Linked DNA regions of Caenorhabditis elegans. The protein of the gene in region 1 purifies or fractionates together with the protein of each later gene. This does not show direct contact. Each region holds a gene or a part of one and is shown on either strand. Other genes may lie near its edges. The genes, in order: F40E10.5 and C27D8.2.

What was found.
Region 2: the proteins of F40E10.5 (region 1) and C27D8.2 fractionate together in Caenorhabditis elegans (co-fractionation; one large-scale study listed by BioGRID). This does not show direct contact.

The regions. Positions count from the first base shown.
Region 1 is NC_003284.9:14,695,246-14,711,105, forward strand, and holds F40E10.5 (DUF148 domain-containing protein), read left to right. Parts: upstream 1-6,544; 5' UTR 6,545-6,617; coding exon 6,618-6,719; intron 6,720-6,768; coding exon 6,769-6,893; intron 6,894-7,251; exon of another isoform or gene 7,252-7,429; intron 7,430-7,467; coding exon 7,468-7,663; intron 7,664-7,738; coding exon 7,739-7,864; intron 7,865-7,915; coding exon 7,916-8,086; intron 8,087-8,140; coding exon 8,141-8,275; 3' UTR 8,276-8,443; downstream 8,444-15,860. Other genes in the region: hch-1 (Zinc metalloproteinase nas-34), read right to left, coding at 1,274-1,442, 1,488-1,957, 2,755-2,966, 3,014-3,316, 3,362-3,456, 4,061-4,187, 4,232-4,616, 4,664-4,720; tmem-184 (Transmembrane protein 184B), read right to left, coding at 8,946-9,095, 9,432-9,452, 9,501-9,634, 10,188-10,379, 10,428-10,689, 11,030-11,362, 11,496-11,600.
Region 2 is NC_003282.8:12,704,115-12,719,974, forward strand, and holds C27D8.2 (BACK domain-containing protein), read left to right. Parts: upstream 1-7,102; 5' UTR 7,103-7,193; coding exon of another isoform or gene 7,194-7,305; 5' UTR 7,306-7,547; coding exon of another isoform or gene 7,548-7,619; 5' UTR 7,620-8,718; coding exon 8,719-8,741; intron 8,742-8,801; coding exon 8,802-8,910; intron 8,911-9,002; coding exon 9,003-9,272; intron 9,273-9,332; coding exon 9,333-9,629; intron 9,630-9,678; coding exon 9,679-9,845; intron 9,846-9,903; coding exon 9,904-10,024; intron 10,025-10,068; coding exon 10,069-10,331; intron 10,332-10,379; coding exon 10,380-10,632; 3' UTR 10,633-10,668; downstream 10,669-15,860. Other genes in the region: C27D8.4 (NAD-dependent epimerase/dehydratase domain-containing protein), read left to right, coding at 12-62, 116-235, 296-397, 830-964, 1,219-1,538, 2,307-2,595; C27D8.3 (Integrase catalytic domain-containing protein), read right to left, coding at 2,803-3,051, 3,286-3,619, 3,739-3,887, 3,941-4,479, 4,708-4,963, 5,081-5,410, 5,601-5,987, 6,227-6,549 and 2 more; C27D8.1 (Protein kinase domain-containing protein), read left to right, coding at 13,820-13,858, 13,943-14,482, 14,784-15,086, 15,136-15,237.

The DNA.
Region 1 (15,860 bases):
AACAGGTACTCGCTTCAATTTTTGTGGAATTTAATCGAAAACATACTCAGAATAAATGAATAAATGAATAAAGTTACAAATAGATTTTTAAACTTTTTCTGTTTTTTGTCAGCATCTAAAAAGTTTTTGAAAAATTTGTAGTTGTTTTCTTTTTGGAACATTTATGCATGTTCGAAGACCTAAAACTTTTTAAGATAAGTAATTGAGTAATTGACCATAAAATAATACTCGGAGAAGTTTTTTTACTGATTTTCAAAATTATGACATGCAAACTGTAAATTAAATTTTTTTTTCAAAAAACACACACTTTTAAATTGTTTAAAGTAATATAATTCCAAAAGTTTGCCAACTGGTGATACCCTTTTTTTAAGTACAGTAGGCACAAATAGTGGTTTTTTCTCCACTCATTTATGCTAGTAACAAAAAGGAGACCGGTCAATTGGTGCCACCCATCTGACTTTTTTAAATATTTTTTACATTGTTTGCATAAGTACCTCTTGGTTCTTATTCACATAAAAAATTGAATTTAGATTATATGTTTAGTTTTGCCGATTTTATTCTAAACATTTTCTACATATCACTCCACTTTTCCATAATATTGTTTGATATCCATTAGCATAAAACATACGATTAAATGATGACACTTCATTAGCCATTGTCATACGGTATTTGCAAACACACGCCGCTCTCTCTCTCACTGCCACTTTGCTTCCGATCTTTGATAAAAGCCAAGTTTACAAGACGATTTAATAAAGGGTTTTATGAACTTTGACATTGTTGAATGCTCAACATTGTTGCAATTGACTTCTATTGTGTTGATGACCGTAACCACTGAAAAGCCCCCAAAGCTTACATTTTATTAGATTTGACTGATGCCGGATGGGAGTCATATAATAGATTTGTAAATTGAATCATGTATTCTTCTTGGCGTGGATTCTTGACATAATCCTTTGGGAATATCACTTATTATAATTTGGCTTTGGTTCCTCTTTTCTTGGAAATGTAGAAATAGCGTCATTTTATAAAAAACAGGATTTGAAAATTATTCTTGAAAAACTACTGAAAAAAGAATCGGATCTTACGTCAGATTGGAATTCCAGAAATTGTCTTCGTTTAAAGTTTTTTGGATAGATTTTAATATTTTTGAGGGTAAAAAGTTTGCAAATAAGATGAAAAAAGGTATTTATTAGATAAATTAAAATTTTAAATATTGTTATTGATCAAAATACTGTTGAGATTGGTATTGAAAGAACATTGAGAAATTATCTAAAAGTTAGCCTTTTCTCTGCTCAACATATCGTTGTGGAGCCGCTGGTGTATCTGCTCCTGGCCGTCTACAGTATCCAGTGCCGAACGATGTTACGTAGAAGAACGGACGGCAGCAATATCCTCCAGTACATGGGTTGGTGTTACAGTAGACAGTTTCCACGTAGGTACCGCATCTGTAATTCATAAAATAAGTATCAGAATAAATCGCATTCAGTCACCTTCTCGATTGAGTTCCACATCCTCCACATTGTGCGGAACAAGCCGACCAGGATGCACATTGCGATGTTGACGTGGTGGTCGTAGGTGGAGCTTGGGTAGTGGTGGTTGTTGTAGATGTGCGAGCGGTAGTTGTGGTTTGCCTGGTAGTAGTTGTAGTTGGGGAAACGGTTGGAACCGTTATTGGAGCCGTGGTCGTGGTGGTGGAAGTGGTTGTTGGGGCAGATGTTGAAAAAGTTACAGGATCATAACGATAGTTCAATGAGAACCTCGCTCCGTTTACTCCTTTATAAATCACAACAAGAGTATTGGTTTCAGATAAGGAGATAGTTGGATAAGATGCACAGAATCGTGCTCCAACTCTGCTGAAATCTCTTCCGTAGTTGATTTCCAGGTAGTTGGTGGTGCATGGAGAGTATCGGGAGAATGTGGCAGCTGTCATTTGGAAGTAGACTTTTGCGCCAACTGGGGCCTGAAAGAAATGATGTCAGTTCAAGATTTTTAACGAAATTCTGTTTAGAACTGTTTCAGTTCCAATAAAAGTAAAAATGATGTGTTTTCTAACAAGACCACAAAATTTTGATCGTAAATTTTAAAGAATTTATTTATATTTTATGTTTACAGACGTTTTGATTTTATCACTCGGCATTTGGCTCTAGCTTCTTGTCCGAATTTGGCCAAAAAAAGCTTGGATCAGAAGCTGGCTAAACTTGGGCAAAACTTTGGTAAAACTTGGATTCAGGTTGCGCCAAAGTTTAACCCAAGTTTCACCAAACTCTTGCCCAATTTTGAAACTAGGCCTTCCGCGAAGGCGAGGCGCAAAAAAGGGCACACCACGCCTGTGCGCCCACATTATCACACTCTGTGTACTGCGGCCGACACTGCGCGGGACCTCGCGTAGTGTGGAGCGGTCGGGCTAGAGTTGCGCCTTCTTGGAAGACCTATTTTAAAAAAACCAAGAAAAGTTTGATCCAACGTTTGGCAAGAGTTGGATGACACTTGGGTTAAACTTTGGTGCAGTCAGAATCCAAGTTTAGCCCAGCCTTTGGCCACCTTTGGCCAACTTCTCATCCAAGTGACTATTATTTGAGCCAAACTTGACAAGAAGCTAGAGCCAAATGCCAAGCTCATAGCGGCTTTGTCATCGTTATTATGTTCGAAATTTAATATCTTACAACTTTGGTGTACATTGATCGAAAATATAAATCTAAAATCTTCAAAAATCAGCACACTTATTCCAAAATCTCGAGGTAAATACAATTTGCTCACCTTGATAACATAATTACAAGTCAAGGCACCTGATGCAGAAATAGTTTGAATGGAACTTGTCGCAGTGATATCTCCTGCACCACACCCATTACTATTGGTTCCGGCAACATCACAAAGTTGTCCACCGAAACCAGGTGGACATTTGCAGTTGTTACAGTCATTTGGATTGATGTACCCACCATTTTGACAGTCGAGGTAATTAGAACAAGTAGCTGAAAATTCAAACTAAGAATCAGTTATGTGATAGTTTAAAACTTACAATTACAATAAGCAAAGTTAATTCTCTTGACATCTGCAAAAGATGGAGCGACTCTCTGCCCAATAGTTGCTTGAAAGTTTGGATCACGTGTAGCAATTGTGTTTCCGCCGGTAGAGGAGAACGCCGCCTGGTCATAATGCATAACAGATCCGTAATCGTAGCCAACTCCGTAGTCTACCATACTAGATGCGGACTGTTTCGTAAATTGAGAAAGATACATGTCTTGAATGTTTTGGGTGAGAATTGAAACATAGTCATCACGATCGTAACGAGCTTGTTCGTGGTAGAATCCAAGGGCGTGACCTGAAAAATGAGTTGTGTCAATTTATTTTGGCTTGGGACGTTTACCTATTTCATGGCACACTGTTCCAAGCGAGGTGCATCCCCATCCAATTGACACGTCTTGAGGAAATCGGCTCACCTTGCCAATATTCGAATAACACCTGTAGTTTTTTCCCAATCACGGAATGTAAATGTGTACGTTTGGACAAAAAAATTGTCAGGGCAGAAAGCGAAAATACGAATTTTAACTGTTCACTTTTAGTATTATTTTTTCTAAATTTCAGCGTTTCTCAAAACTGTTATGATTTTTTTGAATTTATTCGATTAATTTATAATTAGAAATACAATTTTACAGCTTTTAGATAAACTTTTATAAACTTAAAACTCTATTAATCCTACACAGTTAACAAATATTTTTGTTTTAGTGTTTAAAGTATTTTTAAAAAACTGCGCTAAAAATGTAACAAATTTACAATAAAATATATATGCCTTGTGTGTCATCTATTTTTGTTATTTCCATTTCAACACCAAAATCTGTGAAAAGTCACTATTTTCAATCTTCAAAATTTGAATCGGAGAGAATCATATATAACCTGCTTGAACTGTCCGTAATTCCAAGTGGAACATTTTTCAAAAAATAAAATTTGCATTTGAGATAACTGCATTAATTCCTACAGTTAAAAAATTGCTGAATTTTAAATATTTGCATTATTAAAATAGTAATCTTAACAAAGATTAACTGTTTTTGAATTACAATTCACTCACCCGTTGCCAGATATGAATCTTAAGGCATTTTGCCTCGACGAGGAACTATAACTATTCAATCTTGTGAATCTTGCGCACGTTTCCTGCTCCCATTTTGCTACTCCGGCCAGAACCGCATTCGTGTTTACTGAAAATCAATATTATGACAATATGCTTAATTATATTAGTCACCTCCTGATGATGTATCAATATAGTATGGCACTGGGAATGACCAACGTTCTGACAAGAATGAAGTCATTGATCTCTTTCCACGAATTGCGTAGAGGAATTCATTAGTTGAAGATTTGCGAGCCCAGTATTGATCACGGACGTTTTTAATAATCAAATCCATTTGTTCATCGGTAAGTACCATGTCTCCTTCGAAAAGATACGGAATTTCATCGGGTTTGCTTTCAATTTTGTCTTCAAAATCCAACGCTGAAAATTCATCGGGTTGTGGAATGCCAAGAATATCAGCTTGAAGTTTGTTCAAAATGGTCATTTTGTCCATGAATTTTAGGGCATCTGCTTGTTTGAAAGGTCCCTTTCCATTAACGAAGTCGGCAAAATAGCTTTTCTGAAACAATATTGTTTTTTATTAAGAACAAAAGAAACACAACTCACAGCATGACAAATTGGAAGAAGGCACAGAACGATCAGCACCGGCCAGTAGGAAACCATCGCGTTCGAATGACAGAAATTTGGAGTTGTTGCCAGACGAGATGTCTTATCCCATCCAGAAATCTTATCGGGACTATGCCGTGGTATAATATACGGTAAACACCCTCATTATTACTCATTTTTCTGATATCTCTTTGAGATTATTAAAGGATGCGGGCCATGGTGGGTCAAGGTTTCTCTAGGATTGGCCAGAACACACGTTTAAAGATCAAAGAAACATTGAACGTGATATTTGATCATTTTGTGGGAGCTGGACGTTACTATCATTTTTCAGTGTGATCCCTGTTAAAAAAATGTGGGCAAAAAGCCATGATAACTCCTCTTGTTGACTATTGACATATCTGGAATCAGCAAGTGTAAATGCGTTTTTCTATCATTTTGAAATTACATTGGTCTGATTTTAAAAAAAACTTAAGAACAATCTGTTTTTTAACCGCTATGCACTGCGAATCTGGGAGCCAGGTACGCTGTCTGGTGGGGCTCCCACTGAGCTATAATTTAAGCCAAGTCCTGGCTGGAACTATGGCCAATAATCCAGTCGTGAATTGCTCCACTTTCCAATAGAGGCTGGGTGAACCTAAAGAGTGAGGCCGAACTTGAACACGTGACCTCTAGATTGCTAGCGGTCACCACTGCCGACTGAGCTAATATCTCCCAAATATTATACAAAATTCGACTTGAGAATCTATTGGATGTTATATTTGTAATCTGATTCAAATTTCAATTTTTTAGTTTTGTGTTTAATATGTACAGTGTTCATGCTTAAATTATGTAATCGAGAAAAAACCAATAAATAATTTTTTTTCATAAACATATTCAGTTTTGGAGTTCATCATCGGAGTCGTGTTTTAAGCTAAAACCGGAAATTACAAAAAATTTTAATTGCCCCTAAAAATATATTGAAGGCTATTTCCAGTTTTCTTCATACAAAACTTTTGTTATCGTGTATTCTGATGTTTTTCAAAATTTGATAAATAGTTGGATTTAATAAAATATCAGCTTGAATATTTTTAATTTAAAAAATTGTTCCAAAATCACACGATCAAAGTTTAGTAAGAAAAAAAATACGTGTTTATTCTCTTCGCCAATTTTGAAAATTGATAATACTAGATTCATTCAAAAAAGTTGCACATATTCGCTTCTGATATGCTCCATGAAACTACCTTTGTTCTAGACGTACTGAAACAGTCATATACTGTGACCGTGCCGTGAAAGTCCAAACCGTGAAAGTTATACAATTTCCGTTTGAAATAAAATTTATTTCTGAATATCTAGGAAAAACTTTACGAAATGTGATGGTAATTTTTCGATTGTTCTATCAAGCCATGTCACCTTTTCTATTTCTTTTTTCAATTTTTTAAATCGAAATGTGTCTTGACCTTATCACGCTTATAGTCTTGAGCAAAACTCATTTCCCTTCAATTAAAAAAAAAACAGTCGGAACATTGCCATCCGGGCATTCCTTTGTTACCAACAAACAGGCCGCTTATTCGTTTCCCACACTTGTCCGGTCAAAGAAACCAGCTTGCCCACTCTGTCTGACCGCTTGCCAAGCCAAGCGCGCCCTTTGCACACTGTCGTCCGCAATCTTTTGCCTGTGGGTCGTGACCGGCTCGTCTGCTCCAAATGTTTGTCTTAGTTAAATTCGTTCGCGTTTATTCGCGCACATTTGCGGACATTGCTATTGGAGGCGGTTACGGAGGCGCGGCAGGGAGGCCGGCTAAAAATAGTGAGGATTGCGTAGATGGCGCAGACAAAAATCCGTTTTTTAGTCACCGCCGACTGTTGTTGCACTATAAAAGAGCCTTGTTGAGATGGAGAAGAAGAAGACGGATAGCCTCTCACTTTTCATATTTCTTCAAAAACTTTTCCTAGTTTCTTCTTATCACTACCAACAATGCAAACTTTAATATTAGCCATTTTCCTTCCCTGTATTGTTTTGGCATTTCCACCTCGTCACTCCGATCCTTTTAACCCATTAGGCCCATGGCACAAGAGAGTAAGATTGTTTCCAAGTTTACTGTATGATTTTGTTATCTGATTTTAAGACAAAACCATGTGGAATTCCAAAATTCATAAATGAACTCCCATCCGAGGCAGCTGAGAAGATTACCAAGATTTGGGAAAAATATGTGGAGGGAAATACTTGCGAAAAGGAACATGAAGAGACAAGGTGAGATTAAATTTTTTAGTTGGTAGGAAAAGTTTTTAAAAAAGTTAGAAAAGTACTGTAATCGAAATAATCGGATCAAGTTGTCAAATTATCATTGTTTTTGCTTGGAAGAATTTAAGAGTTTTAGAAATAACATCCCAGGGGCATTTTAGCTCAGCCGGTAGTGGTGGCCGCTAGCAATCTGGAGGTAGAGTTCAAGTTCGGCCTGACCCCCCTAGGTTTACCCAGCCTCTATTGGGAGGTGGAGCAATCCACGACTGGATTATAGGCCACAGTCCCTGGCTAGGACGTGGCTTAAAAAATAGACCAGTGGGATCACCACCAGGCAGAATCCTCCCAGCCCGCAGTACATAGCACTTGAAGAACGGATCGTCCTATAATTATTTTTTTTAATCCTTTAACACTACTTTCAAAAAATCGTGAGCTTGTAAAACCTTGATAACTGAGACCAATTATTGAATTTAAGTTGTGTCCTTATCATTATATGGCACCCTCTGTTAAAAATAACTCTGTGAAATCGGACATTCGCATTGAACCAAAATGTATAAAACATTTGTAAAGCGAAAATTTCCAGAAACATCATCCGTGGCCTCACCACCGAGGAACGAGACAAAGTTTTCGCTGGGAGATGTGGACCATCCTTCTTGAAAAACGTGTCATCCACTGTGAGAGAGGAGTTCAAGAACGTCTGGTTCGACTATAAACTTAGCGTTGTTGAGAAGGAGCTCGCCCTTCAGAAGTTGGCTTATTCTCTTCTCACTGGAGAATCTGTAAGTTTAGTGTTCCCTTGTTTTTGGGCAATAATTACTTTCATTGACAAACTTTCATCAAAAAGTGCATTACAGCTTGCTCTGTTCAACAAATGGGAGGAGGAGCTCAAGACAAGAAAGGTAGAGGTCGCTAGAAGACTTTCCGAGCTTTCTCCAGATGCCAGAAAAGCCTTCGAAGAATGGAAGGAGCTCCGTTTGAATGTAAATTTTGAAACGATTTCTTATAACTGAATTTAAAGAGTATTGGTTTAGGAAAAGAAGTTCTTGGCAGGACTTTCCAAGGAAATCCGCGATGAGCTTAAGAAAATGTTCATTTCCTCCAAGGATAAGGAAGTTGAAGCTACCACTACTACAACTACCACCACTACCACCACAACTACCACGACCGAAGCTCCAACTATGCCGGAAGCTGTTTCTTCTACCGTGAGTTTTTGAAAGTTTTGTTGTCATAATATTTAGTTTAAAATTTATTTTCAGACCGAGCAATCTACCACCACCACTGCCGCTGCCATCATTGCCGAAGAAACCAAAGAAAAGGAATTCTCAGCCTTCCTTTACTCTCAGACCCCAGAGGAGCTTAACAATGAAGACCAGTGCTCTTTCCTGGCTTAAAGCTTTATTTTGAGTTGTGTACCCTAATTTATTCAAATTTGGAATTGTCGAAAGTATTATTCGAGTTCAATTCGCAGAGTTTAATTTATTGGCAGTGTTTTTTCTATATGCTTTTCTCAAAATCATTCCTGTAAATTACGATATCAATAAAAAATTTCTATCAAAAACTCCATTTGTGATTATTATTAACAGAACGCTTTATTCGAACCTCAATAATCTATAGTCATTAGAAAAAAAATATATATATATAAAATGCGATAGATAAAGAACATGGATACAGGAAAATGAAAATCACCATTAAATTTAAAAAAAAAATGAAGAGCATAAGTATATTGGACAGGTGAATGCGATGATTGAGATTCTTGAAGGGGGAAAGAGCGATATGACAGAATCCACATGGTACGCAGATCATCTGAAAGTTTACAAAAAATAATTCTGGCTCATGGGAAGTTGCGTAACATTTTTGTGTTCTCTTTAGAGCATTATTTTTAAAATAGAACAAAAAATTTTGTTTTTAATTGTAAAATTTTAAAAAAATTAATAAATACATTTTCAAACCATTACATGTGGACAGGGAATCGGGAGCTGTTGGAGTTGATTTTGCAAGAAAAATTGTGTTAAAGATGCCTTATGTTTTGTGAGAGAGAGAGAGAGGTGTACGAATAAATAACTATGCGTCGAGAAGGTTGCCGGTGGCTTGAGCCGGAGCTGATGATGAGCTATCATTGGTGCCGCTCTCCACCATTGTTGAGTAATTCGTTGCGGCACCACCCTTCGACATTCGTTGTTCTTCAGTGCTGGTGCTAGTCCCGGGTTGTTGCTGAAAGTTGAAACATGTGATACTTTTTGAAAAATTCTATAAATATCTAACAATTTTTAATTGAACCAATCACCATCGTCATGCAATCCCAAATAAATAATGCTTCCCGTCACCCATACATTGTATAATAAATCAAGAATTTTGTTTAAAAGTATTTGAAATTTTTAATTGAAAATTGGAAAAATCAATAGTTCACACACATAGTCTAATAGGGTTTGAACTTTGGAAAGATTTTGGAACGTCACATATATTCACAAAACACAAACAAAAAAAAAAGAAAAGGGGAAGCGGTATATATAAATATTAAACGATAAGCATTTAGAAACCTGTACTGACCGGTCGTTGAGCGTTGGAGTGCTGAAAGTAAATTAGTTTTGGAGAGCGGATTCAGTCAAAGTTACAAACTTGAGTGTATTGTTGGTATTGAGGGTGGAAATTGTGAATCGCATCCTGCATAATATCTTTGGGATTCATGGTTTCCTTGAGAGATGAGCTGATCGATTGGAGGGTGACTGGGCGGCCATCGTTGGCGTTGCTAGCTGAAATTTAGACAATTTGAAAGATTTAGAGTAGCTTGTAAACCTGTAATCACGTTTTTTTAAAATGGTTTATTAATTATTTGTAGAAGTACTCAGAGTATACTATTAACACTTATTTTCTTGACATCTTAGGATTAGGAATCCCAGCTGAGTGAGGCGCCAAATGCGGGCCTCACACCGACGCCGCGCGTGTGTGAAATGAAGTGCGATATTTAGTTATTTGAAGCGACCGACACTTTCGGGGTTCCGCAGCTTAGCGTGAAAAGCGTATCTTAATTTGTGCACAACGTAGTGCGAAAAAGTGGTTGTTTTGAAGCGACCGACACGTTGGGGTACCGCGCCGCACTATACATTCGGTTTGAGTGACGCCGTGCGGCCGGCGGAGGCGCTGTTGCGGCGTTGCGGCGGGAGCTCTACTTAAATAGGATATACAATGACCTTTAACATTTTCAAACTATGTCAGAAATTCAAATGGTATCAGAATTTCCAAGAATTTTTTGACTTTCATAGTTAATGATAGGTTAACCTCCGCAAAATTCATATTTTTACCAACCGTTGTGGGCATCGGCGTAGGCGGAAACATTGAAAGCGAAACGAAGAGCAATTGCGGCGAAGAACATTTCAATGCAAATGAAGAAGTTTTGCCATCCAGCGGCGACTGTTCCACGTCCGATCACTTCTCTTCCTTCGGCATCGTAAATCGGGTCGATCGCAGAAGTGGCTCCGAGAATAGCAATGAGGAATCCTAAAGATTTGAATTAAGTCAAAAATCAAAAAACTGTTGTACACTTACCCTGCCAGAAAGACAAGAAGATGACACTCTTGACAGTCAAGAACTTGAGAACCGGGCGATATGGGCTGAGAAGGTCGCGAGTTGCTGCATAAAACAGGAACATTCCGTAGAGGGCGAGCGAGATAGAGACGTTATAGACCAGCGTGATGTAGATGTATCCTTGATCGAGGCTCCAGTTGCCATCCTCGTACTTTCCAATTGCAGTCAGCATCAGTGTGATGACAGCCATGATTGGTTTGATGAAGCAGAATTGGAGAGTTGCCTGAAAAAAAGTTTTTTAAAATGTTTCAAGGACATTTTGAGCGCTGCAAAAAAACGATTTATGAAATGCTCTAACAGTGCTTTTAAAAATCAATTTGTCAAAAAAAATAATTTCGATTCTGAAATGAAAGATTAACCACTCTTGGTTAAATACTGAATCTCATTAAACCGCCATTGTGACATTTTCAAACATTACCCACGGAAAACAATTGGATTGACAGTAGATTGACAAATGGGCTACCCTAAATGCAAATTTTTCGGGTCAAACAAATTCCTTTGTTTTTCATGTTTTCCCAAATGCCGCCTTGAATATTTTACTTCTAAGCATTCCCGTTTCTCACCTGCTTGCAGAATCGAAGGAACTCGATCGTGTACTGCTTGCCGGCCAAGCAGCAGGTGCACGTTAGATAGTTGGTCGGACGAATCGGCTTTCCACGAATCTCGGCCATGATGTTGCTTTCACCACCCAGGTACTCATAGCAGAGGGACAAGAAGGAGTAGATCACGAAGGCTTCATAGCAGTCGCGAATTGAGTTGAAGTAAATGTAGACGTTGTCAGAGAAGAAGATGAGAGATAGCCACGAGTCGAAGGCATAAATTGGCACGATGAATAGAATTCGAACAATCCAACGCTGTTCTGCTGGACATGAGTAAAACCGGAGGTGTTGGTAGATCTGTAATTTAGATAATTGTATATTTTCATATTTCTTTTGATTGTTTTGAAATAGCACAACACTGCTCAACATAACATATTTTTCATAATTTTTAAATTTTCCAACTAGATTTCCAAATTCAAATTCCACCTACTTGATGACTGGTTATAAGAAGAGCAGCCCAAGTGCAGAGGCCGGCGAGCCCCTGTGCGGACGCCGACCGGATGAATGTGGTTCCCTCTGTGCCGTTGATGGTCATACTAGCACATTTCTGTAAAACAAGGATGATTTAATTAACTCTGGGAAATTGGGTAGATGCTCTTGCGAAATAGTTGCACCAAAAGTTGATTGGAAATATAAAAAGAAAACGTCAAGAAAAAAGAGGAAGGAGACACAAAAAAAGTGGAATGGAAATTGAAATAAGAATGGCGAATGGAATGGCAAAAAAAACGCAAAGAAGAGGGAGAAATAGAATGACAGATGGTTAGAATCAAGTAAACAAATAGATTGCTTGAAACCAAACCAATGAGTCAATATCACGTCAATCAAATATCGATCAGTGTGACAGTAGACGAAAACCTGTCCATTGATAAGGGAAAAGAACTTTGCCACTTCTGTACTTGGGACAGGGGAACTAAAAGGGTATTTGGCCGACAGAACCAGTAATTGGAAATTTGAACATTTCAAACATCCTATTATTTTTATTAGCAAGACCTAAAATACTAAATTTTTCGACACACTGAAAAAAAAATTCACGACTGATATATAAGAATTGTCCGAGTTTAAATTTCTTTCCTATATGTTATTACTTGTTTCCCAAATTTCACCGATATGATAAAGGATTTTATGAACCAAACATTTGAGGTTGCCAATACTATTTTTAAATGGTTAATTTTTGAAACAATGCTAATAGAGGAATGATAGACAAAATAAGACAACGGAATTGCGTGGGCAAGATCAATAGCCACTTTCAAAACCGGAAAATATTTGAAAAATAAACCGCTGCAATGTGCAAATTAAAACCTAACCGCAATTTTTTTCTGATAAGCTGAAAATTGAAAATTGTGACTTATAATGCTATATATATATATATATATATATATATATATATATATATATATATATATATATATATATATATATATATATAACATTTTCCTTCCCTCATAGTTATTTCGAAATTAAAAAAAACTACAAACCACGCTTCTCCCTATACTCAAATAGTTTTTTATCGCGGTTGTCTTGTTAACATTGCATTTTTCAAAGAGAAACTTTTCGAACGTGGGATTTTTGATTTTTATGCAAAAATTGGTGCTGGGTACAAATAGATAAAGCCTGAGTAAGTGAGAAATTAAAAAGCAATTGAATAGTAGGAAAACGGAAGGAAAAAGAAACAGAATCGCATAAGGAAGAATCCAGTTTTGTCGCCCAATAGTCATTCCTATCCAGCCTAATGACATTGTGGAATGAGATGTCATCGGTTTTTGTTTCTCACATTAGACGACGCCTCTTTTTAAAACAATGACTAACGATCAAAATGTACACGTGGCACAGTGAAGGGCCTCGAGGCAAAAAAAGGAAATACATAGTGGAGAAAAGGCAATGCGCACTGCTCTCTCTCTCGCTCTATCTCTATCTTTTTCTCTTTTAGTAAATAACGGGAGAAGGAATGAAATAGAAGGCAGAAAGAAGCAGTGGCAGGCGATCTAGAAGAAGACGAGTGCGCGGCGTCGGGCAGAAGAAAGCATGGACGTACCCGGCAGCAGCATCCCTCTTCTGTTGCCCATAGAGCGCGGTTGCACCGCTTCGGTCGATCGATAGGCAGCTGAGATGACGAGCGGCGTATGTGAGAGGGGGGGGGGGGAGTTGACTCATTGTGTATGAAGCGAGAGAGAGAGAGATCGGCAGAGAACCGAACGAAAAAACTACTACGGGGGTGGATGAGACGGCAGAGATTATTGTGGTTGGGATCCAAGAGACAAACGTGTTTTGAGGCTGAGTTTTAAGAAGAAAAAGAAGAAGTGGGAAAGCGGAGGAGAAAATAGGAAAATAGAAAGAAAATGAGGAAAACACAGTTGAAATAAATAATGTTTGTTTTTTTCCCATTTTTTACTTTCTGTTTTTTTGGCAATTTTTTTTTTGGTTGTTTTGTAAGTCAGTGAGAATAGTAAACAATAGTGTTGTTAATAGACAATCATATCTTATCTGTTGCGAACAAACAGCCTGCCAAACTACTGACTCCTTCTCATTTTCTATTTAGCTGTATTTTCAAGTAATAACTTACACAGATGGCACACAAAGAGGAAGACCAAGTGAATTGTTTTTCAGAATGCCAAAATGGGGAGGGAGCCGCTATGGAAACCTTAGAAGTCGTAAATCACAAATGACAATTTTTACGTTTTCGTTCAAAATTTAGTTTGTGAAAGTGGCACTTCAGAATGTTGTGCTTAGTTACTAAAACTTTTGAATTTTGAAATTTAAATGTAGGATTCCCGAGTTTTTCAAAATTTGGTGTGTTAGGCGGGATTCGAAATGTCTATAAGACTGATTTATTCCAAAAAATATAGTTAATCATTTTTGGCTATGGAGAGAAGCAGCCTGTGAAAACAGGAAAAAATTGTATTTTTTTTTTGTAAACAACCACCTATATTTTCAAAATTTTAAAACATAAAACACAATTCGAATTTCAAAAGAAAAGTTTCAAAAAATATATATGCTTTAAAAAAATGAAAATATCTTAGCCACGGTTTTAGCCACACAATTTCCAAAGTTAACTGTAAAAAAATTATTTTTGTCAATTTTACAAGTGAATCATTTCTATTCAAACATTGTAAATGTTCCAACGTGCAGCAATTTCCTTAACTTTACAAAAAAAAACCAGCAAAAAAGTTGACTGCATTATGTTTCATATTGTCTCCAATTGATCTATTTTGTAAGTTCATATCTCTGTAAGTCTTGATCAAAGTATCTGATCTTTAACTACGTTATATAATAGACACTGTCATTGAAATATGCCAAATTTAAGATATTCCATATCAATTGACTGTAAAAATTGCAAAATATCCTATAAAAAGTAAAAGACAAAAAAGGTAAAAAAAAAAGTGAAACAATTTTTGAACTTCCTGGTGCGTCATTTAAAAGGAAATTTCGAATGATAAGAAATTGAGATATTTCTTCTCATTCCTTCTCCCCCGATCAATGTTCTATCACTTCATATTCCATCCAAATTTACAAATGCAATTGCGGAAAGAAAGTAGAAAAGTAGGAACTTTGAGAGAGATGAATAACCTTGAGAACTAGATTACATGCGTTGCAAAACGTAAGATCATTGAGAAACTAAGAATTAACGCTGATTTTTCTGTTCTTTCTGTTCCGTTTCCACCCAAAAAAAGCCGCCTGTTTGCTTACTATGCTCATAGTTTGAATCGAAAAACGACTGCCAAAACTTGATTTCCGCTCTTTCGAACATTTTTTGAACAGACTATTTGCAGAGGCATTGTGCAGAAATAGCGGAAGCTATTTCAGTTTGTGTTAAGTTTGGAGGGACCTCGAAATGTTTCCTTGTAGCAATACTGTTTTGGTCAGTGCCAGCAGCTTTTTTTTTGGAATGCCTTACAATAATTTTGCATTTTAACAGGGCGTTTCTCGATTAGGTATCAACTGATAAAATTCAATACAACATCATTTTCACATTAATATTTAGCTATTGATTTTAAAAACGCCCTCAATAAAGAATTTTTTGGGTGATAGTGGTGGTTTTTACTTTGTAAGAATAGTGATAATACAAACATTTTTCGGTCTGCTAATTTCAGATTTTTTAGTCTATAGATGAAATACTTTTTACGAAACGAAAAAATAAATAAAACAAAATTGGATTGTTTTTTAAAAATGCTCGGAAACATTACACCAGTATCTTTTTTCAAAACATGGGTTTTAAAAAAGGTTATTATTTTTACTTCTTTCCAGTTTTTTTTTGAATGCCTAATTCATTCTCAAAATCACAAAAAAAATTACCTGCCTACTTCTTTAAAATTATAATTTCGAACACTCCATTTACATATAAATTGACAATGTTTCTTGGTCACTTTCCAAAATATTTTTCGATATTTTTATTTTATTTCTAATGCCTTGTTTTCATTGGTTGATAATAACTATAATATACCATGTTTTTTCTAGAAAAAAAATCACAGTTACAAAACAGGACGCAAAATGTGAGCGAAAAGTATTGTCAGATTTCAAACACTTTAGTATTAAATTATTTTTCACTCCAATTTTTTCCCAATGTGAAAATTATAAGTTTGTGATACTACTGAAATACTGACACGTAGAAAAAAACAAGCCGTTACTTATTTCAGTGACTGATTAAAATTATAGTTGCTAACCATAAATCTTTTTTGATTTTAATCATTTTTGGGGACTCAGTTGCTCTCCACTATTTTCCCGGTTATTTTCAATGAATAATTTCATAAATGGTTTGAATTTATTTTCACATTGACCAAAGCTATGTACTTTGATTTAA
Region 2 (15,860 bases), on another chromosome or scaffold:
AAAACGAATAAATGAGTGAAATTCGATGGGGAATATTAGAAAACAAATGGAGATATTATAAGGTAAGTAAGAGGAATTAAATATAATAATTTCACAGAAAATTCCAAATTTTCAGCCACTCGCATTTTCATCGTCCAATTTTCTTGTGGAATTTCTGATTTTTATCCATGTTTACTTGCTCGCCGCGTGGCTTGCTCTTCGTGAAGCTTGGTTTGACAGGGGATTTCATATTTATGTTAGTGTGGAAATTATTTTAATTTAAAAATATTCAATTTTCAATTTAAAATCTTTCCAGAAACTGAAAAACGAGCTCTTCTCCTCTCGATTATGGACGCACAAAAGTAAAAATCGCCGGAAGATGCTTGTGATCGGCGCGGATGGAACTATTGGAAAGCGGGTGCGATATTTTACATTGCTCTCCTGCATGGAAACGCGCTCCACGGCGAAATTTAAACTCCCCGCCCCAAAACGTTGGGTCTCGTTAGGTATTTGGCGGCAAAAACCGGAAATTCCAACTTTTTCAATTAGCTTCGCCATTTTTCAAGAATTTTTTGTTTGAGAAATTTTTTTCAATTTTTTAAATAATTTTAATAACGAAATGATGGTTGAAATTTTGTATTTTTTCATCAATTTTGGTATAAACTCATTAAAAAGAGATGTGCTCAAAAATTGGGCGAAAACGACGAAACTAATTGGAAACGTTTGAAAATTCGGCTTTGCCGCCAAAAACCTAACGAGACCCAACTGTTGGAGGCGGAACGTTACCATGGAGCGCCTTAAAAAAACCTGCATAACAACTGAAATCCTCAAATTTATCGATCGGTTTCAGATAATCGAAATTCTTCAAACAAATACGGATTTTGAGTGCCACGTGGTTGTTCATCATCATGCGTCACCAATTCAACCATTTCAAAACGATTTGAACACGGTGATCTACTCGGTTGATTTGAAACATCATGAACAGGTGCGGGCGAAGTTTCTCGATTTTTCATGGTCTCGCCACGAAAGAAATATTTTCAAATGAAAGCTCCACAAAAAAGATTGTGCCTTTAAAAAGTACAGTAACCCACAATCTGTTATTTCTCAAAAGATTTCGATTTTTTAAATTAAAAACAATATATTTAAAGACAATAAATAAACAAAAAAAACAATATTTTTCCGAAAAGCCAAAAATTCAAAACAGAAAATTGTCAAATTTTGCAACAATTTCTTTTTCAGATTCTCCTTCTCGCCAATCAACTCAAATCCCATCAATTCGACGTGGCAATATTCGCTGCAGGAATCATGTTAGCACCGGAATCCCGAACGAAAGATGGCGTCGAACTTCACAATGCAGTTAACGTAATCGGACAAGTAATGCTCTACGAGCTTCTACAAAATGAATGCAAACGAGCAATATTTCTATCGTCTGCCACAGCGAGAATGGCTTGTTACTCTTTGGATTCCAATTTTTTGAAAGTTTACGCAGGACCATATCAAGCATATGCATCTTCAAAGCTGAATCTAGCTGTTTATGTGAATGAAGTTGCCAAGAAAAGGTTAGATATTTGAGCAGGGAATAGGTATTTTCCTATAACACTTTTTATATACCCAAGTAGTCAAGTAGTCCGGAAAAACTACCAAAAAACCTGTGAGACTGGAATTTTTGAAGTTTCAAGTTGTTTTTTCTAGCAATATTCGGGAAAATTATCAGAAACTTCTGAAACTATTAAATTGGTCTATAAATGGTTTAGATTTACTTTTAAAAGATTTTGAAACGCTTAAAAATTAAAAATTATCGAGAAAAAAAAATTTGAAAATTTTCAAGAAAAAATTTGAAAATTTCTAAAAAATATTGTTTTCAAAAATTGAATTTTTCAGATATTACGCGTACACAAAATTCTGAGAATGCGTATTGCGCCACTTTTTGGCGCGCAAAATATCTCGTAGCGAAAACTACAGTAACCCTTTAAAAGACTACTGTAGCGCTGGTGTCGATTTACGGAAATTATTTATTAATCGATAAAATATTTTGGAAGAAAACACAAAAATGGCCAACAAAAAACAAATGAAAACAATGGAAAATTGAAAAGAAAATCGAGTGCTCCCGTAAATCTACGCAAGCTCTACAGTAGCCATTTGAAAGGATTACTGTAGTTTTCGCGACGAGATATTTTGAGCGTCAAGTATGTTGTGCAATATGCATTCTCAAAATTTTGTGCTTTCTGTAATTATTTTTCGGTTTTTTTGTTGAAATTTATGGTATTTCTGAATTAAAACAATCCAAATTTAAAAACTCCACCCAAAAATCAAGTTCAATTTTCCAGACGCGTCAATACAGTAAGTCTTCATCCTGGCACCGTGCCAGGCCGTCTCTATCAAAATGCAAATCCAATTGTTCGATATCTGAATGCCACACTGCTTCCAAAACTGATGAGAACCCCAGAAATGGCGGCTGTTCTCGTGCTTCACACGATTTTCCGAGACGACATCCAACCTGGAGCCTATTATGAAGATACTCAAATAGTGAATGTACCAGAATGGGTCCCGGCACGAGAACGTGAACGGATCTATGATACTATTCATCGACGCATCGATTTGTGGATGGAATGTTGATAAATTGCCAATTTTTAACTTATTTATTTCAATAAACGGAGAATTGAAAAATTGAAAACAAAAAAAACGAAACGAATCAAAAAAATATAACGAGATCACAGTTTTTTTTTTTGCAAAAGGCGGAGGAAGTTATTTGGTGGAAAAATGTGTTTTTTTGGCCAGCAAAATGAGAATAAAGTGCAGTTTTTTTGGAAAACTTTTGAAAAACTAAACGCGTAGAAAATGATTAGTGTGTGAAAAATCAAGATTTGAAGAATAATCTCCGTTATTCGTTAGATCATCCATTAAATCTTCGAAACTTCTATCCTGAGATGAGGGAGGACCTAATGTTGGAGAACGAATTGATGTGGTTGTTGGTGGAATTAGTGATGGATGGTGATGGGATTGATGATGATGTTGTTGTTGTTGATTTAGATTATTATTGGGTCTTGCAGCGGAGTACACTATTTCGCAGACCTGAAATATATACTGAGTAAGATTTTTTCCACAACACGTGGCGTCAGAATGCCCCATTTTGGTTTGATCTACGTAGATCTACAAAAAATGCGGGAGAAGAGACGCAGAGTTCTCAACTTATTTCGCATGGTTAAGAACGTGCTGACGTCACAATTTTTTGCGCAAAAAATTCCCGCATTTTTTGTAGATCAAACCGTAATGGGACAGCCTGGCACCAGGTGAAAACCGACTCACATCATGCGGAGTCTTTCCGTATTGTTTCATTAGAGCCTCCAATTGCATTTCGAATGATTGATCCATTGGTCCAGGTGTCATCATTGTTGGTGTTGTGTTTGTTGGTGATGACGTGGATGAAGATGATGACGTCATCATCATCATTGACATCAATGGGTCGTGATTTTGATTCTGATGGTATCGTTGGGGAAGATTCGGCGCAGTGAAAACACATTCCGATGGAGCATGAACCGAGGATGATGACGTCGGAAGATCGTGCGATTCGGAAGGTCGCGGTGATGGACGAGGTGTCTGATCACGGCAGGCAACAACCGCGACACGGAGAGGCGTGAATCTAGAATATTGGAAATGTTGAGATATTGAGATATTTGAGATATTTGAGATATTTGGAAAGAAATCAGTGGCTGAGTTTTTAAAGTTTCTAGGCCACGTCTCAAATTTGTTTTCACTCACTTGACATGTGTAACATGATTCAATGGTCCTTTATCAGTAATATTCGAAGCAACACCTCTAACTCTCTTCACATCATCTACTGGGAAATACTTTTCGATGACACTTGAAACTGGCATGTATTCCAAATTATAAGTGAGAAGATAGTCTATCTGAAATTATTGATTTTTCAATCTCAATTTCCAAAATTTGTATAAATAATTACCTTAGCTGTTTCAGCGATATCTGAAATATACTCCAGTATACTTTTCGCCTGAAGCTTCTTCAATTCGAGCGGCTCCAAATGTATGATTTCCCCGCAAAGGTTACGGTAGCTCACACAGACGCTTCCGCCGAGAATGTAGGTCAACCGAATCACCATACAGTTGTGACGTGGCATTAGCAAATTGACAACCGCCTGTGTATCCAGGAACCCATGCATCAGATAGTGTTCCCATAGCACCTTCACGGCTGCCTTGGGATCTTGAAATATTTGCAAAACCTCGAGAATTCCCCGCCATACGCTGAAGCGCATTTGCACGGTGTCCGTATCGAATCTCAGATGGGAGCACAAAATGTTCTTAAAACTAATGCAACCCTCATGGTTCTCCTCGTCCTCGAGCTCTGTCGAGTCATCCCCACACTGTTCACAATGCATTTTGTCCTGAAGCAGGGCGTAATCAGATTCCTCCATTGTACGGATAACTTCTCCATTCACCATGAAGTATCGACGAGTTAGATGTTTGAATTGGGACCATGTTAGCGCTGGAAATTCAGAAAATTTTTCAAAAAAAGCAGCTGATATTCCAAAATGGCTAAGTATGTATTATATACTTTTGATCTTACCACAGATAACGTGTAAGGACTAAAAAAGGAGACTAGCCGTGGTGTCTACTCTACAGCACTTCTACAGTAACCTCACAATTATCTAATTTTGCCTGAATTACAGGAGATTTATCGAATAATATTTTCAGATATCCGAAAACTTCTTACGTTTTTCATTCCAATTCAACAGCAATCCATTAATCCCGCATGTTCCATACATCCAAAAACACGTGGCAGTATACGAAGAGTTCATTCTCTGAACCTGACAATCCTGATTTCTTCGTGTGCTTATTGTGAATGGAAGAGAAAGCGTTCGAACATGAATGTAATTTCCCGTTGGTGACCACGTTTTCGCACGGATGTAGAAATAGAATAGTGGACGCTTTCCGGTTGTTCCAGCACGACTGTCAAGGAGCACTGCGTCCTGAAATGAGGTTGGGGATTTATTTTTGTCTATATTTTTTAAAGTTTATAGGAGAAATTTTGCAGCTCTTAAGATTTAGAAAATCAAAATACTATTGTCAAATTGATTTCAACCAACCTTCTGCCTTGTCGTGCACAACAAATGTGGATACGTTGTCTGCCACGCATTTGAATTATCACTGAATGTTGGTGGAATTGTCACGAATTCCTGACTATTCACATCTGATTTCTTGTGAGCTGTATTTCCACCGGTACCCTTTTGATTCGCCGTCGCATTATTCCTTTTAACTCCAGAAGTTGGTTTCATAGCAATCAAAGCTGCCGATGGGAAGACTTTGGGCTCTCGTGGACTACTATTTCCCATTCGACATTGAATTATTTCGTTTTGAATTGCGAATGCGGTCTCTTCACTTACTATTTGGATGTCAAATGATTCGAATATCAACGTCTGAAAATTTTTGCTATTTTGATAATAATTAAGCTCAATCAGCTAAATTCAGGCTTAGGCTTAGACCTAAGCATAAGCTGAAACTTAGGCCTAGGCTTAGGCTTAGGTATAAGCTAAGGGTTAGGTTCAGGCTCAGGCTCAGACATAATCTAATAAACAACATGACAATTTTCGTAAATGCAAGACTTACCCTACACAAGGTGTGACACGTGAAAGTGAACAGATTATTCGTGACCATAATTGACGAATGGTTTGGCTCATTACACATCAGAGCATCATTCATCACATATTCATAGGTAATAAAGACTTCATTCAACAACTGCCACAACGTATCAGGCGTTGCAAATGTATTCTGTGAGCATGTTTGACATTCATATCGGAATCCTTGAATTCTCACAGCGAGAAGACCCAACGTGTATGCCAGTGAAGAATAGTAACTCCGGATCTCATAAGTGTCTTGCTCGACTAGTTTTTCCTGATTTGATAGTCGATTGACTTGAGCTCTTCGGAGGCTTGAGTGAAATCCCGGAGCATTTTCAGCACAAGTCCTGCGGAATGCAGCGAGGCAAGGTTGGAGCTGGAAAAGATTATAATAATTTCTATCAATCAAGCTTGAGGAGTTATGTTTAAAATTACTTCAAGTTATCTTATATAACAAAAAAAATTTCTGGAATAAAATTATGAGAAACCAAACAAGGCCCGCACGTGATGTCAGAGTGTCCCGCAATTTTGTAGATCAAACCGTAATGGGACAGCCTGGCACCACGTGGGTCCGCTCAATTTTCAGTTTTTGTTTTAAAGCAAAACTTTACGTACCTGTCTGGTGAAATAAGCCCTCATCTTGATTTCAATATTACAATTTGGATTGTCCAGTTGCGAGTACAACCCATGTAAATAATGAAGTGAACTATTGTACAACTCATGAAATTGTGTCCACCATTGCTTCGCTTCAGGGCACACTTTTGGAATTCGCATCGGACGAGCAATGTTTACAAGACGAACGAGGATATGGTTGAAGCTTTGAGTAATATCTCGTTCGGGTTCTGATGGTAGACGAGACAAGCATGTCAATAGTCCCCAGGCAAGGATCACCCATTCGTTTTCGAATTCATCATCGGTTATGTCTGTTGATGGAAGTGCTGGAAGAAAAGAAAAATCGGCAATTGTCGGAATTGCCGATTGTCGGACATTTTCGGCAATTTGCAAACCTAATTATATTTTGGAAATTGAAAAAAATCACTTTTTTCATTCAAAATCCACCTTTTTTATAATTATTCGGGTAGATATTTTTCAAAAGAAAAAGACAAAGGATTAAATCATTTGGAGCTTTAACATAGAAAATTGTTTATTAAAATGCATGTTAAGGCTCCTAAATCTATTATACAAAAGTATCAAATTTATATTTCCGGCAATTTTGATTTACTGCAATCGGATATTCCGGCAATTGCCGGTTTTCCAAATTTCCGGCAATCGGCAATGTTGGCAATTGCCGCGTACCTCTGCCCGTAACCCCTTTTCTGAAATTTGTACAACTACTGATTGCAATTCTCTTCTTTATTAACAATCGACATGTGTATTAGAAATATCTGGGATCGTAAATCAAAACGCGTATCACTGTCAATTTTATCTCTGTCTTCGTTCCCCTTCTCTTTCTCTCTCTCTTCTCCTGTAATCTTATCTCATTTGTATCTTCTACCCAAATCATCGTCTACCCAAACAAGGATTCGGGCGCCCTCGCGCCCACGTGGGGGTCTTGCTTGGAAGATCAAAACTCAAATCTCACCTTCTATTCGTTTTTCTAGAATCTGTTCGATGTGATTTCGCAGGATACCAATGTTTGACTCGATGTTGGTCACTTCCTGAGCTGTTTGGGGGTCTTTGCTGAGCTGGATTAGCTGAGAACAGAGGGAAATTGGTCGTTTGAAAACGAAAATCCACTAGCGTGAGCCCCAAATGGTAGAATTTGCGACGTGGCCTAGAAATGTGCAAAACTTGGCCACCAAAAAATGTGTTATATAATTCTTTCTTTCAAAGTTTCGAGTATGCACAAAAAGCTTAGTTTTACCAGTGGCTGAGTTTTTGACACTTTCTAGACCACGTGCAATCTAAACCCCATTCTAAACGTAAAAAAACTTACCAACTCATAGACAATCTTCTGATAATGATCAATTGTAGAGAATGGGGAAATCGTTTTGTGTGGTGTTGTCATTCTAACATAGCCTGTAGAATTTTTTGTTTGTAAATTGAAAAAAATTATATTGTGAGAGAACGGAAATGCTATTTCGAATGTAGAAAAATAAAAAGAACCAATAGAGAAAAGTAAAAATATTTTTTGGAAAAGCTACAAAGCTCCCCTCTTTATCAGTAACAGTTGAAACAAAAAACAAGAAAAAAATAAATTGAGAAACTCAAAAATACTGAAGTACGAGTATGTTTCATTTACTGATGCAATAAGATTGTTGATGTGATATCTATTTGATGATAAAGAAAACGTTAGAAAACAATGAAAACTTTCTGGCTTTCTAAAAACATTTTCCAAGAGATTCGCAAATTGACAACACATTTTGCTCTTTTTTTGTAATTTCGAAAAATGTTCAACACACGTTTTTGGAAATTTTTTGGAAGTGGCAGAGCTGTGTACGAGACACATGTGTTGAAACACACATTGAAAAATGGAGGCCGGGGATAACCTCTTCCACGGTTATGCTTTGCAGCTCGTGTACTCCCCGAGGAGAAGATTTTCTTTATGTCTTTGCGAATTGATTGATTTTTGGCTATTTTTGGAAACATTTTTAGTATTCAACATCAAAAAAGTAGTAGCTCAGAAAAAGGCTTTTGTACTTACTATTCAAAACCTATCGAGGGATATATTGGTAATTTTAATTATGAACCCAAAAAAATTACCGAAAGGCAACATTTTTTTTTCTACAAAAATTGTAAAAATTCTTTGTAAAAAAGGCACAAGGAAATTAGTAAGGAAATTTTTTTTAAAGCAAAAATTGCAGGAGGTTCAAGGACATTTAAAACTTAAAGAGTCAAGAAATGGGAGGAGTCAATTTGCGGGCTTTTAGAAGGGTTACTTGTTTTTTCACACAATTTTCATCTTAATCAATTTTTTTTATTTTTCACAAAAAATTTAAATTTAATTCCCGTGAAATGATTTTTGAAACACGTTGAAATTATATTATCTTAAGTTTCATCTACCACGTTCCACAGAAAAAAAATCAATAGAGAATGTCATTTGGAAAATTCAATCATTCCTATTTTACTTGCTTTCGCAAAATCGACGATTTTGAAGGGTCACTCAAATGGAAACAGATAAAAAGTCGTCGTGAGTTTTTGGGTCTCACAGCGAAGTCTGTAACTTTTTGATAAGTTTAAATTCTTCCAGCGATTCGAAAAAGAAAAAAGTTGGACTTCCGAAGCTAAAGTCTTCGGAATCGGATAACAATGTGATATCGAAAAAGGCAAAGAAGAAGGATGCGACCGGTGGTGGGAAGGTAAGAGAGAGTTTTAATAAAATGCTGCTGGTGCATGGATATACCTATGCCTAAGCCTAAGACTATTTTCGTAATTTTTTTGTTGTTTTTAGGTTGTCCGCCTTCTCGGCAATCGTACGGTCTACCATCTTCCCGTCGAGGAACTTGCTCGCTGCTCTCAGCTGGTCAAGCAACAGCAAACCGCCGGAAACCCGATGTCAACGGTCGACTTGCACCGCTTCAGCGATCAATCGATAATGGCTTTCGTGAATTATGTGCAGAACCAGGAGATCAAGTCCGATCTGACATACTATGCGATCACCGAGCTGGTCACGCTGGCGCACACCTTCCAGATGAAGGAGTTGAAGATGTATCTGGAAGATGTAAGAACCTACATACAATCATCTAAATATTCCTGGTTAAAAATAAATATTAAATTTCAGAGCATAGTCGAAGCGGCCAAGTCCTCCGAAGCAGATCTTCTCCAGACGATGATCGTCTGCGACGTGGCCCATGTCAACCCGGACACTGAAAAATCTCTGCAAAACTTTGCCATCGAAAGCATTGAGAAGCTTGTAGCTCTTCCAGATTTTCACAAAGTTCCGTTCCACCAACTTTATCAAATCCTGTCAAGCTGCGAACTGGTGGTCACACACGAGATGTTTGTGGCCGATGTGATCCTTCTATGGCTGAATGGGCAAAATCATGTGAACGCTTTTGCGCCATCGTTGTTGTCCTGTGTAAGTGATGTAGCTAGATTACTGTAGATTGATTTTTCTCATTTTTCAGATTCGCACAAAATTCCTGAGCCCCGTCGATCGCACCATCATCATTGAACGCATGAACCAGCTGAACATGCCCACGAAGCTAGTCCGTTTGGCCACCAAAATGCTCGAATCGACGAACAATCAACGTGTCTGTCTGGACCCTGGTCATATTAAGAAGAACTTGGGGAGGTAAGAGCGTTAGCGGGCTCCAATGAGCTCAACTTACTCTAATTTTTTTTCATTCCAGATGTGGAGCAAACATGAACACAGCTCCATTTAATGCTCATTCGTCTCTTCCTCTCAGTCGGCCAGCGTTCAATATGAAGATGAAAAAGTGCAAGGAGCCGAAAGCCAAGCCAACTTTTGATGTGAGCTTCCTCTTTTTTAAAAATATATTCTTGTTTCTATTTAGCCAGCCACTGCTCAACGAGTCATTGATCTGATCAACACCGACCCGAAAACTGTGAAAACCGAACGTAGTGTCGAGAAAAACAAGTTCAAGAAGAAGCAGAAGGAGGAGAAAAAGGCGAAGAAACAGATATCGAAGAGCACGAAGAAAAAGTCAAAGTGTGCTTGTATAGAGTACGTCAAGAACAAGCTCACTGAGAAAAAGAAGAAAAATCCATTCAAGGATCCGAATGCTGTGAAGGTTAAGCCGCCTGGAACGAATAGCAAGTAAGATTCAAAAAATGCATATTATCAACTCCCCCAATTTTCTTTCAGAATATCCGAAACAAGCACCAAATCCACAGCGGTCATCTCCAAAATGTCTTCTCTATCGAAAATCCAGCCCACTTCAACTCTTGAGAAAAACCTGCACAAACGAAGAACCGGCAAGCGTACCAAGATCCAAGGAGCTATCAAGCTTTCCAAATCACAGTCGGAACAGAACATTAGTAGCTCGAAGAGCAAATCGGCATCACGCAGTGGAAGCAGAAGCAAGAGATCGGAGAATAGTACTAGAAGTGGAGTCTGAAGAGCCACTGGAAAATGAATTTGAAATTCTTGAAATGTTTTTTTTTGTTGCGAAATTAGATATTCTGGAATAAGCTCGCGGGCCTCCCCTCATCCCTCTGTCGCCTCTCGCACGAAATACGTTTCTAAAATATACGAGGATGAAAGTTTAGAGCTCAAAGAGGGCGGATAATGAGGCGCCCCTCTACGCCTCGGCCTGGTTGAATACCTACTCCTGATACTTATACAAAATATATTAACTAATAGGATAAGTAAAGACAATTGACTGATTATGAAAAGAGTTGAATGAGTAAACATTGCCTTTGAACTATGATTTCTAGTGATAAATTAGATAAATTATGATAGATGTCTGCGATTTTTTTTTAAATTTCAGAATAATTCAAAAGTTGAACGGAATTTTAAGAAAGCGGCGGACATTATGCGGGACTCTTCTAGACTACGACTGACCGTTTTAAGGCACTATTTGATGAAATTCACTTTTTTTCTAATTTCTACTCACCGCTTCAAGTAATCAGTATATGCTCGACGGAATTCGTTTTTAAGAATTGTAAAAACTGACAGTTTTGACAGCCACACGTTGTCCCCCCTCTCGGCCTGACCAATAAGTTTCAGTTTTATCAAAAGTGATAAATGGTCAAATCAATCGATTGAAAAATGACAAAAAAATGATACCAAAAAATTGAAATTTGAGTTGTTAACGAAAAACAAGTTGTGATAGAAAATGTAGATTCTATTTTGGGATGTGGGAGGTCACTGTAGGTGCCAACTATGACGAGGCCCAGTTTTTCAGAACAACAGCCTGTTTGATACAGAACATGGCAAATTATTTAAAAAACGATTCAAAAAATGTTTAAAAGAGCCAATATATGGGCGGAGCCTATTATATACGTTTTCTTGCACCCTACATCTCTTGGATTTATCTGTGTATTTTGCATAAAATCAACATCGCTTTTGACGCAAAACCAATCTAAAAATAATTCAAAATGATAAATTTTTAGAACTAAAATTTAATTTTAAAAAATCAATAATAGGCTCTGCCCACAACTTGGTTTATTCTTGTGTGATTTGAATTCACAAATATAGATATTGGAAAATCAAAATAATTGAATAATTGTTGAACAACTAAGAGGGAAGAAAAACGAAAACGATATATATTTCTCCCTTGGTAAGAGAAAAGATTCCCCCTAACTGGAATTCATGATGCATTTGATGAGACAAAAAGACGAAAAAATGAAATAGCACTGTAAATCAAGAGGGTCCAGAGATGATAACAATGATAAGAGAGTGTCCAAATGATACTGTAGTTCAATGAGAGAGAGAGGAGGAAAAATGATATAATGATAGTGATTTTAAGGGGGACTGCAACGGGCGCAAAATTGGTGGGACAAAATAAGAGAAATTGTCTTCTGAATATCTGTTTCTTTTGATTTCTTGGTTACTGTGTTGCCACGTGACTTGCAAGTTAGAGATCGAGAGACAGAGAGACACAAAGGTCATAGAAGGGGTGGTCTCTGTTGTAGTTATAGTTATCAGCTGGTTGTCATCAGAAGAAAGGGGCAGAAGATGACAAGAAACCACGAGGATGCACCTTTGTGTGAGAAAAGAGAGTAAATTAAAATGGCGTGTGTGTGTGCCATGTAATTACAGACAAAATGGCGTGGAATTTCAAGTGGTCAATAAAAATGGAAACATCTAGAAACGGAGTGGGCTGATATGGAAATGACCAAAATTCACCAGTGCAACCTCTTGCCTGCCTAGCTCTTGCCTAGCTCATGCCTATCCAATGCCTATCTCATGCATGCCTCGTGCCTAACATATGCCTATATCCCGCCTATCGCCCTACATGCCTACCCATGCCTGCCTAGCTCATGACTTCGTTGCGCCTACGTCTAGCTGCCTACTTTCCTACTTTCCTATCTAATGCCTGCTTTTTTAAAAATTTTAATGGCTGCTTTTGTGCTTACTTAGTTTTAGATTTTTTGTCAAAATACCAACAAAAAAAACAAAAAAGTCCCAGCCCTGCCTACCACCTACCTACCTAACGCCCGCCTGCCTGCCTATCTCCATTTACACGTGAACTCAGTGTTCTTCCGGATTTTTTCAGACGAAAGAAATTTAATTTTTGGATTTTCCGGAAAATCGGGAAAAAGTCTTCTGAATGAAAAATCTCCTAAAATCACCCAACTTTAAACTGAATAATTTTAGAATTTTTTAAACAACTTGGGACATTTCCAAAATTTATTTCACAGTCTTAGGAAAGATTTTTTTTCAGTAAAAATTGCATTCTAAAATTAATTCAAAAATCCTTTTGTGATTACAGAAATATTTAAGGCACTACACAAAAATTTGTACCGAAAAAAATTTCGAGAAACAAACAAGTTCAAAAATTTCCATAAAAATCAAACTTATGTTTTCTTTCAAAAATCTGATTTTTAAAATCTACCTGCCTCACTTTGTGATAAAATCAGACTTGTGAGGTCTACCTTGAGTTAAAGGCCAAACTACATTTTTCTCTGAAACGGAAACTTTTTTAATTGGTATCCACTATGCGGGAAAATAGTATCGAGAAAAGTGAATAAAAAACTAATTTTATTCGAATTTTATAACCACGCGCACGTCGTCCGCCACCCGCAACAGAAAACTGATCAGGGTCATTGGAGAGTTTTCATCAGATTTCCGCAAAGTATCTGTATTTCTGTTAGAAATGATGAAAAAAAAAGAATTTGATTTTGGGTAAAATTAATGTAAATGTGTATGGTGGGTGGGTGGTGAGCGGTAAGTTTAGATAAAATGGGTATGAAATTGATAAGGAAGATTTTTCGTTGAAATTCCGAATTTCATAACAAGTTTTAGAAAGATAATTTTGAATTTATCAAAAGAATTGCGGAGCAGTGGAATGATTTCAGGTATAGAGTTCATAGACTATTGGGGAGACTGTGCACTTGTGCTATCTACTGTGTTTATTTAATTTTTCTGCACTGAATTCTGTTAAAATTTAACAAATTTAAACATTTTATCGAAACACATCGGGTCAATTTTTAAAATTTAAAATGTTTCAAAAGTTTGTCTATTAACGTGAACTCCTCTCCTCCTATAAAAAAGGGTTGTATATAAATCCGAGAAATTGAAAAATCAATCAGTTCTCGAATTTTCCAAGTGATCGATTGCAAAGAAGACTTACAAGTAAGATGTCTGATGAAGAAGAAGAAGACGTTAACTTCAAGCCGGTGAGTTCAAAGAATGCAACGCCTACCTGCCCACCTTCAAGACAGGCCGGCATTTTGACTGCTTCTTAACCGTGCCTATTTCAGGGAACGGAAATCAGTAGCACCAAAGCCAACTACACAGTAGTTCGTCTTTTGGGTGAGGGAGGATTTGGTGCGGTGTATCTAGTGCAGGACAACAAATCGAAGAAACAAAGTGCAATGAAAGTCGAGCGGAAAATCGAGAAAAGAAAGCATTCAAAACTGAAAATGGAGATTGCTATACTGAAATTGGTTGGAAGCGGCAAGCACTTTACGCAGATTGTGGATCGTGGAAAGAAAGACAAAGAGGGCTTCTTCTTTCTAGTGATGGAACTGGTAGGAAAGTCTCTGGCTGACTTGAAGGCTGATCGACCGGATAAGGTGTTCTCGTTTGCTACTGGCCTTGGCGTGTCATGCCAGTGCTTGGAGGCTGTCGAGGAACTTCATAAGACTGGGTTCATTCATCGTGACTTAAAGCCTCAGAACTATGCATGTGGGTTGGATGAGAAACGGCATAACATCTACATTCTGGACTTTGGTATAGCTCGGAAGTACCTGAACACGAAGAATGAGCTGAAGACGCCGAGAGAAACAGTTGGATTTAAGGTAATTAAAATTATATATTAGGGCTTCCGATGGTGACATAGACGTGTTCTGCCTGACTTGTGTGCGAATTTTCGTGAACAGCGTACCTATTTTCTACATTTTGACAGAGTTGGGGTGAAGCGTATAGGTACGAGGCAGGCCTATAGTAGGCACAAGAGAAACGAGTAGCCACGCAGCAGATTGGTAGGAACTGAGAGTGGTGTTTAAGTAGGCGCGTAGGCACAGCGGCAGGCAGGTACAAGTAGTCGTGTAGGCATGGTGGCGTGCAGACCCTATAAAAAACAAATTTCAAATCTTTCAGGGAACGGTCCGCTTTGCTCCAATCGCCTGCCACCGTAACACCGAAATGGGACCGAAGGATGACTGTGAGAGCTGGTTCTACTTACTTCTCGATCTAATCGTCCCTAGCGGTCTACCTTGGCGTAAGCTCTCTGACAAGCATGAGGTGCTCAAGGAGAAGGAGGAATGCCGAAAAGATAAGCGTTCCTCGTTGTTCGCCGGGCTCAGACAGACTGATTATCTCAGTAAAGTTTTGGACTACATTGACGGAAGAGCTTACCAGGATCGTGTGGACTACCAGTTCATCTACAAGAATCTTGCAGAGGTAGGGAGGCTTTAGTAGTCTGAAACAGATTGAAAAATTTATATTACAGGCTTGCAAGGTTTGTAATCTTGACATTGATTCACCGTACGATTGGGAGCTTCAGAAGCCGGAGAAGACGAGCAAGGAACCTACTTCCAGCAAGATGCCCTAGAACTTTGGGAGAGTAGAAGATGAATAAAATGGTTTTGGGATTCTTGTATTTGTGCCGGTTTATTTATTCCTGCCTACTTGCCTGCCTACTCACCTTCGTGGCAATCTTCGTCTGCCTGCCCGCCTGACCATGTAAGCAGTATGTAGGCACCACATGTAGGCAGGCTTCTACTCTGCCTGATTTGAAAAATTGCGACAAACTTGGGTTTCACAGAATTCTGACTAACATTGAGGCACATAAATACCTGCCTTCAATCTCAATATTGACTGAAAAACTGAAACTTTGGATAGCCAAATGTCTTCCTAAGCTACCTATGCCTGCCTGATCCCCTGCTTAACAAATGTAGAAAATGGGTGACAGCCTTCCATGTCGCCCACGTAGACACCGGTGCACAAGCTTGGTCCCTGAATGGCCTCCAACTTGAATCGTCCGTCATGATGATTTTTTGACCAATGCGGAAATTGAGCCTCAAGTGTGTTTTGGCGCGATATTAAATTTTTCCGCGCTACCAATGACCGTAAATCTTGATTGCTCCGCAGTGTAAACATCCTTCTGCAACGCGCGCGCGCGCTCTGGCACCTATAAAAGTGTTCGCGGGCGGATGATTAGAGCATAATTCAACT